Callithrix jacchus: one gene and its partner. The protein of the gene in region 1 interacts with the protein of each later gene in a biochemical or structural test. Links are inferred from orthologs where the notes say so. Each region holds a gene or a part of one and is shown on either strand. Other genes may lie near its edges.

The links.
Region 2: the proteins of PLAU (region 1) and plasma serine protease inhibitor form a complex in vitro, tested with the Homo sapiens proteins (2 studies listed by BioGRID). The link is inferred for Callithrix jacchus from reciprocal best matches to the Homo sapiens genes PLAU and SERPINA5.

What each region holds. Positions count from the first base shown.
Region 1 is NC_133513.1:56,295,597-56,300,085, forward strand, and holds the start of PLAU (urokinase-type plasminogen activator), read right to left. Parts: upstream 2,806-4,489; 5' UTR 2,718-2,805; intron 2,448-2,717; 5' UTR 2,417-2,447; coding exon 2,360-2,416; intron 1,934-2,359; coding exon 1,909-1,933; intron 1,765-1,908; coding exon 1,657-1,764; intron 1,026-1,656; coding exon 851-1,025; intron 661-850; coding exon 569-660; intron 414-568; coding exon 194-413; intron 1-193. UniProt on the Homo sapiens protein: Specifically cleaves the zymogen plasminogen to form the active enzyme plasmin.
Region 2 is NC_133509.1:129,406,232-129,410,472, reverse strand, and holds the start of plasma serine protease inhibitor, read right to left. Parts: upstream 3,068-4,241; 5' UTR 2,845-3,067; exon of another isoform or gene 2,661-2,844; intron 1-2,660. UniProt on the Homo sapiens protein: Heparin-dependent serine protease inhibitor acting in body fluids and secretions. Inactivates serine proteases by binding irreversibly to their serine activation site. Involved in the regulation of intravascular and extravascular proteolytic activities.

The DNA of each region.
Region 1 (4,489 bases):
TCATCCCATGAAATCCTGCTGCTTCTTCCTTCCCTCCCTAGAGGCCTCAAAGCAAGACTTGTCCCCAAGGTCAAGGGCTGCATGGTAAGGGGCTGATGAGAGAGAATTGAGGGGGATCCCCTTGCTGGGAAGGAGAAAGGGTTGTGCTTGGGGTGGGGCAGAAGAGTCAGAGAGGGGAGACCCAGAGCCATACATGAAGCAGTGTGTGGCGCTGACCACCCAGCAAGGGCTGATGAGGCTGCCTCCGCACAGATAGGTGACAGAGCCCCCCCGGTGCTGCCTGTAGATGGCCGCAAACCAGGGCTGGTTCTCGATGGTGGTGTATTCTCCGCCAATAATCTTAAAGCGGGGAGTCAGAGGCTTCTGGCCACACTGAAACTCTAATTCTGCTGGAGGAGAGGAGGGCTTTTTTCCTAGAGGACAAACAGAGGGATGTCTTGGGGAGGCAGGTAGGAGTAGGCATCCCTCTCAGGCAGCACCCCCTCCTTCGCCCTTCTGTGATGGAATAAGGGGACATGTGAGTTTGTCCCCTTCCACCCCACTGTCATCAGCAGGTAGTGACACTCACCATCTGCGCAGTTGTGCACCGTGCACTCTTGGACAAGCTGCTTTAGGCCGACCTGCACGTAGCACCAGGGTCGCCTCCGGTTGTCCGGGTTCCTGGCAACACAGAGAGAAAGGGGATGTCATTCCAACCCAGAGGACCTTCCCTGCCTCCTCCCCTCAGGGAAGACTCAACCAGAGGCTGCACTTCTTTCGCTACAGCTGGCTATCTGGGAGAAGGGGATGGTAACAAGGGTTTCTGGGAAGCTGTGGGGAGGGCTCTTGGTCCTCCTGGCCCCCACCTCACCTGCAGTAATTGTGTTTCCCCAGGCCCAGCTGAAGAGCATCAGATCTGTGGGCATGGTATGTTTGCTGAAGAACAGCAGCAGAGTTCCAGGACAGGCAGGACCGGCCCATGATGTCGGTTTTGGCCTTTCCTCGGTAAAAGTGACCATTCCCCTCATAGCAGGTTTTTGAGTTATCTACAAGAGAATGTGAGAATGAGTGAAAATGAGAGAATATGGAAAAAGAGAAGGAAGTTCCAATTTTTTTTTTTCCTTTTTTTCTCTTTTTTGAGATGGAGTCTTGCTCTGTCGCCCAGGCTGGAATGCAGTGGCGCGATCTCGGCTCACTGCAACCTCTGCCTCCTGGATTCAAGCAATTCTCCTGCCTCAGCCTCCCAAGTAGCTGGGACTATAGGCGTCTCTCACTACGCTCAGCTAATTTTTGCATTTTTAGTAGAGACAGGGTTTCACCATGTTGACCAGGCCGGTCTTGAACTCCTAACCTCAAATGATCCACCCAGCTTGGTCTCCCAAAGTGCTGGAATTACAGGCATAAGCCACCATGCCCAGCCGCCAATGGACATTTTAAAGATGATGTGGTTTCAGACCTGCCAAAAGCCTGGACAGGGTCTCCTTCCATCACCACCTTACATTTGAGCAGCCACTACTTCATGAGTATATGTGTTTATGCTTGTCACATAGAGATGAAGATGTCATCCACCCCATCTCCAGCTCCTAACTCCTGCCTGCTCTTGCCTCCCACCCACTCCTCCATGTCCCTAAATTTCTGGCACCCCCTCCCTCCCAGTTGCAGTGGAGATCCCCATACCTATCTCACAGTGCAGCCCTCCGAATTTCTTTGGGCAGTTGCACCAGCGAGTGTTAGAGAAGTACTTGCTGGACACACATGTTCCTCCGTTTAGACAGTCACAGTTCGCTGGAGAGAACGAAGGTGGGGTAAGTGAGGGGGAGTGGAGGTGGTAAGGGTGGGGGTAGCCTTGCAGCAGGGGCAGGGAGGGGATGCCCCCGAAGCTTTCCCAAGATGTCTGTGCAGCCATCTGTTGTAGGGGTGGATACTCACATGGAACTTGATGTTCACGGCGGCCCTGAAAGAGATTGGGGAGGAGGCTTCACCAAAGGTCCCATGCTCCCGGGACTCCCGGGACTCCAGGGTGAGGATAAACTAGCCCCAATCCCAAAACCCACTCTTCCTTCCCTCTCCCTCTCGCCTCACCCTGTTCATATCTAGTTCTCAAATGGAAGATCATGGGTTTCCAGCAAGGAAAAATGGATTGAACCAACTAAGCTTCATCTACCAGGTGCCTGCGGGCTGGGGCAGTCCTAGCGGCCTCTTCCTCCCTTTCCTGCCAGTGCGAACCCCCGTGGTACTCAAGCCTCCGCCGCCACCCTGTCCCATTTCCTGGGGAAAGCCTGGCCCTGCTGTGGATGGAATCCGGAGGACCCCAGCTCCTCTCCCCTCGTGCTGATCAGATGTCCCCAGGCAGCATCAGTCAAAGGAAGGGAGCACTCACTTTGGAGTCGCTCACGATCAGGACACAGAGGAGCAGGCGCACCAGCAGGGTTCTCATGGTGGCAAGATCGGGGCGCTAGAAGGCGGCTCTGCAAGGGAAGGAGAAGTCAGGACAAGAGGCGGAGGAGCAGGAAGGCTGGCCGGGCGGGCGACTGCAATGCAGGGGAGGTGCCCGCGGTGACCAGGCTCCCCAGCCCCGGCTGGCTCTCTTCCCTCTGGGCTCCGGGCTCCCGGGCAGCCAGGACCCGCACCCGCAGAAGACGCCCAGGACCGAGCGCGGTGACTCGATGTAGCCGCCAGGCTCCGGAGCTGGGGCTGCCGCGCATCCGGCCCGGGGCTCTCGCGATCGCGGCACTCACCGGTGGATGCGGCGGGAGGGTGAGGGCCGGTGCTGCGGGGACAGGTGGGCCCTGGGCCGGGCTCGGGGACTGCGGTCTCCGCGCTGTTACGCGGCTCGCGGCGCCTGCTCTATATCAGGGCCTGCCCTGGCCCCGCCCCGCCCGCTTTCGTCCTCCTCCCAGCCCTCACCCGCCCTGAAGCGTGCAGTGACCTGGGGGACCCCGCGTGCTTCCGAAACGCTCACAAAGATCTGGAGGCAGCACGGTCTCCAGCGGAGAGGACTCAACAAAGTCTGGACTGAGGAATCGAGAGGCTCGTGAATTCTCGGTTCTTCCTCCCTTGCATCTGGCCCGGAGCCCGCCTCAGTGCAAGGGGTCCCCAAATTGCAGAGAGGAGAGAGGGCCACGGGAGACTCTCTCCCTCGCCTAGCTCTGAAGCCTCCTGGGGTCCCCTAATCAGTTCTTCTCCAACCTCTCCCCGCTGGGCCCCAACTTGCCTAAGAGTGCTTCAGACCCCCTTGTCTGCGCTGATGGAGCTGTGAAATCTTCATCAGCGCGACAAATGTACGAGACATACTCTCCCAGAAACAGACACGAAAACCCCTGGCCAGAGGGGCTGCCTCTGTGCCTCTGTCCAGCGGCAGTCCCCAGATATCACCAACACAACCAGTGGATGGAACAAAGCCGGGCTTATTGCTTTCCACAGTAAGGGCCTTCTGATGGTGCTATCAAAGGAGGAAACGCGAGGCCAGATTCTACTGAAAATATGCAGTTTCGTTTAAAGACAGTTTTTGACAGTAAGGGCTTGATAAGAATTGGATTAAGTGTCATGGTACGATGTTACAGGACTGTGGGAACAAAGTCCTAGAGCATAAACTGTTGGTGCTTCCTGTTGAAGTATTATTGGGTCTTTTGGGAAGTGGTTTTTGTTTTTTCGTTTTGTTTTGTTTTGAGATGTGGAGTTTTGCTCTTGTTGCCCAGGCCAGAGGGCAATGGCATGATCTCCATCTCGGCTCTCTGAAACCTCCTTCTCCCGGGTTTAAGCAGTTCTCCTGCCTCAGCCTCTTGAGTAGCTGGGATTACAGGTGCATGACACCGTCCCCAGATCATTTTGTATTGTTAGTAGAAACGGGGTTTCTCCATGTTGGTCAGGCTGGTCTCGAACTCCCAACCTCAGGTCATCCGCCTGCCTGGGCCTCCCAAAATGCTGGGATTGCAGGCGTGAGCCACTGTGCCTGGCTGGGAAGTTTTAATAATGAACAGTTCATTTATTTGTGTGGGCAAGAATAAAAGTAAAGACAATGGAAACATGTAGACAGTAAACTGTGGAGGTTCTGGAGGGTGTGGAAGTTCTGCTCTCACCTCTGAGTAGAGGAATTGGGAGAATGGAGGACAAAATAAGAGGAAGATTTCTTTTTCACTGCATGTCGTTTTACACTGTTTACATTGTTAAAAACACATCCTTGTATAGCCCACTCCAAAAAAATAATTACACATGTTTAAATGCATCTGTACTTAGTGTTTTACTTTGTCATAGAGCCTTGTTTATTCTATTCACATAGTAATAATTATTTCTCAAATAAAACTGGCCTCCAGAAAAACAGATCATGTGTAAATGACTCCACCCACCCTTCCTGCCTGAGGATAAGCGCACATTTGTGTATACACACACACACACACACACACACACACATCTCTGGGCACACTTGGAGGAGCATTCTGTGGTTCTGTCACCCTCATCTCTTTCCCCTTGTGTCAGAAACCAAGGCTTGGGATTATTTTGAACCCAGCAG
Region 2 (4,241 bases), on another chromosome or scaffold:
GTCTGTTTGGAGAGGGCCACGGGTTCACCTAGGCTCTCCAGGGTTACACGTTTGAGATGCAGAAAGCTTGCTCCCTCTGGGCCCCCTAATTAGTAATTAGTAAAACCACTAATTATTAAAAACCTGCTAGACCCTCCATACATATTACTACATTTAACCTTCACCAAAAATAAGCGTTACTCACTCTATTTACAGATTGAATAGACTGTGGCTAAGCAAAATGGAATAGCTTGTTTCAGCGATTGAGTGATGGAACCAGACTTAAAATCCAGGTTCCTCTGACTCACGCACAGCCTGTCTCTGAGAGGCTCTGAGGAGTGATACCCCTTGACCCCCCCTCCTGGTATCCCCAGGCAGTTCACCTGTATTAGCTCCTTTGTACTTCTCCACAGCAACATGGAGTCGGTTTTACTATCCTAACCATGCAGAAGAAGAAACAGAGGGTCAGAGAGTTCCCTCCAAGAGGCGGCGGAGCCCCTACTGCTTGTTTTACATTTCTTAGTTTTGAAGCCAGGTTTGCCATCACACTCCTGGGCATCTGGTGGAAATATATGGCTTTAACAGACAGGTGAAGCCCTGGGAGCCTCCCATTCCCCAGACCAGCCTCAACCGAGTGCCTTGAGAGCCTAGTCAGGCTACCCCTCTCCTGGGTTCCTGGCTTTAGTGTTGGTGCAGAGGGAAGAGAGGGGATCAGTCGAGTTCATCTGTCATCCCAGGCCAAGGTGAGTTGAGTTGACAGGTGGTGGGGATGTGGTGGGTAGGCCTTGGTCAGTCCTTCCCCTGGCCCCCCCACTGCACCACCCACGAAGCTAAAATCTGCTGGCTCATGTTTCCTGTGTTGGGCAATGAAGTCCTGCCCAGGCACATGTTGCACTTAGCTGTGGGAAGTGTGTTATTGAGGAGGGTCTGTCCAGTATCTGCTCATTACGAAAAGGGATGTGAGGCTTGGATCCCAAGCAGAGATGAGAGACGACATCATGGCTTCCTCTAGACCCAGAAGCAGAACTTCCCGGGAGAAGTCATCTTGCCTTCTGGTTCCACTGCAGCCTATCAGCAAAGCTTGTCAGTTCTATCTCCAAAACAGGCCTTAAAGCTGCTGCCTGTCTCTGGCTTTCTCACTGCCCCCTGATGGAAGCTCCCACCATCTTCCCTTGAGACACCCCAGTAGCTTCCTTTCTTTGCCCTACAAGGCATTCTATATGCAGCATATAAAAGAATCTCCTTCAATCATAAACATGGTCTCAGCGCTTCCTCACCTAAGAAACTCAGGGCCAACTCCTGTGTTTCAGGTCGATGCTAACTTTGATTTGTGCTCTAACCCACAAGCGCTCCTGTGAACTGGCTCCACCTAGCCTTGACCTGGGTCATGTGGTACCCCCAGGCTCACTCTTCTTTTCCCAGTCTCTCAAATGCAGCAAGTTCTGTCTTATCCCTGGGCCTTTGGACACCTTCCCTCTCTACTGGAATCCTCCCCCGTGCTTTCTCACCATGGCCAGCTTCCGCATCAGCTGCAGGCCTCTGCTTAAATGCCACTTCTTTGCAACACCCCATCATGCCGGACCTTTTCCCCTTCCACAGCTATTCTCTGGATCAGTCCCTTGACTGTTTCTCTCTAAGCTCCTTCAATTACACATGTCCCCTTATATATGCATTTGTCATTGACATTTTTCATTCCGGCCTCTCTCTCCATGGGACCCTCGTCTGTGCTGCTCTCACCTTCAAGAGTTTGCAGTCATGAGAGATGCTCCATACACCTTTGTAGAATGAATGAATGAATGAATGAACTGACCCCTGTCTCCTTCTCTGTGATTCAGCGACATTGCACTGCAAGCTGGACACCGAGTAGTGGAAAAAGCCAGGCTGGCCACCCAGAGCTGAGCTCTCCCCACCCCAGGGCTCGCTTGCCAGGTGACCTTGAAAAACTCCCTCCCTGCCAGCTCTGGCTTCATTTTATTTCTTTATTAAAACCACTTGATGGAGACATGACTGCTCTTTAAAAAGTTGCACATATTGAATGTCTACAACTTGACAAGTTTGGAGGTGAGTCCACATCTGTTACTTATCACCACTGTCAACACCATGAACATGTCCGTCATCTCCAGGCATCTGCAGCCTGCATTCTTCACACTTCAGTTTCCTGATCTAGGAGTGAGGACACTGTCCCAAGGGAGGGGTTTCCCCTTACAATATTGTCTATCTGGCCCAAAGCCCTACTCTCAGAAAAACTAAACATTCTGCTTACTTTATTTCTACATTTTGTTCATTTAACAAACTGCCAAGTGGTTCCTGGCTCTCTTGAGCAGCTGCCTTGACCGGCCTGGGTGGCAGCCTCCAGGCAAGATGTCCTTATCTCAGGGAAGCAGATAATACTGGATGGTTGTTCTTGATTTCTTAAGGCCCAAGACCCCCCGCACAGAAAACAACGGAAGCTGCCATTTACTGAGCGCCTCCTGTCCAGCCAGCATTTTGTCCCCACGGTCTTATTCAAAAGGTCAACAGGGCCTTTCAAAACAGGTCTTGTTCAACAGGTCAAAAGGTCTCTCAACTTTGAGCCTGCTGACCTTTTGAACAGGATGCTGCTTGTGATCTTGTCCTGGGCATTGTGGGATCACAAGCAGCATCGCTGGCCTCTAGATGTCACTAACCCAGGCCCTCCCTCCAGTTGGGGCAACCAAACCTGTCTGCAGACATAGCCAGATACGCTGAGTGAGAGCACCCGCTGTATTTAACCTTCAGTCCCACCATGCGGAGGGTATAATTATTTCCATCTTACTATGAGGAAACGGAAGTTCTGCCAGAGTTAGTGTGGAGCATAAAGTCACAGAGCTTGGGGGATGCACTCACCTCTGCTGCCTTGGGAGCCCCTGCTTATTACCCGACACTGCAAAGGTGAGACTCCTCTAGAGCTTTGCAGCCTCCAAACCCCGTAACTCTAGAGTCCATCCTCTCCTGGCCTCACATGCCCTCAAGCCCACGGGACCTCCCGTTGTGGTATCTGTACTTACTGTATCCTGCGGCTGAGCGTGCACAGAGTGGAGGTGGCAGTCCCTCAGGCTCAGGAAAGGGCAGAGGGCTGGCTGGACTGCAGCCAGCATTTGTCACTGACCACAGCCGGCCCAGTCTCCACCCCTCCCTGGCCCCGCCCCTGCCAGCCTCTCCTTTCCTGCCAGGTTTCCAGCCAGCAGGCCTGCCTGCAGACACAGCTGTCTGATCCAGAGGCTTTGACCGCAATGCCCACTAGCTGCTCCCCAAGCCTTGTGCTGCCAGCCAGGCCACCATTTGCCTGGAATGACATGGGCAATCCTGAGAGACAAGATCAAAGAGGGTTCCCATTATTGGTATTCTAGAGACAGGGAAAGGGACAGCACTAGCTAACCCTCTCTCTTTCAAGGTTCGATTCCTTGGTTTTCTGCAGCTAATTTCCTGTAGATCAGGGGGAGCATGCACTTGAGCACGAGAGCTCCCCACAGGCCCGCTATGCTGACTGGGTCATAGATCCCAGCAGTCAGTTTTAGTGGAAATGGGAGGGATTGAGAGTCTCACCATACCAGCGATGACGGGTCACTGTAGCCAAGCCTGTGACTGCACCAACCCCTGAATTGGGGCTCAGAAGAATGAAGGGAATTTTCAGTCATGCCTCTAATTAGGGGCAGAGTGGGGTTGGTGATGACTCCACGGCCAGTGCTTTTTGCTTAGAAAGGAGCTGCATTCAGGATTTCTCTGGGCTTGGATGGATTCTCCCTTTCTACTTTGAAATCAGGATCCCTAACTCAGCCACATACTCTTAAGAGCATTTCCAAGACACCGGTGCAGGATGCTGGCTGAAGCCTGGTCACGTTTCCAAGGTCCCCATGCCTGGGGGACACAGTATGTTGTGTATGGTCATGATCATGGAAGGTTTTGTGACTGCAGGTGGGGTGTGGAGTTGATAGAGCAAGTCAGAGATAATACCCAGAAAGTGATCTTGATGTTCAGAAAACACAGTCTGTTGATAACCTTTAAGACATTTCTTCCTCCTTCTTCATGGTTTTGGGGCCCAATTACAGGGCTGTCAGATATCCACAGAAATAATAAGAACTAGTACCTATTCAAACTTTAAACAAAGACCACACATTATGCCAAGTGCTTTACACACATTATCTCTTTTCATCGTTACAACAATCCTTCCAGGGAGACACTGATCTCGGCCCCATCTAGTGAGGAACACATGGTATCTAGAGCCAAGTCCAACTGCTACGACC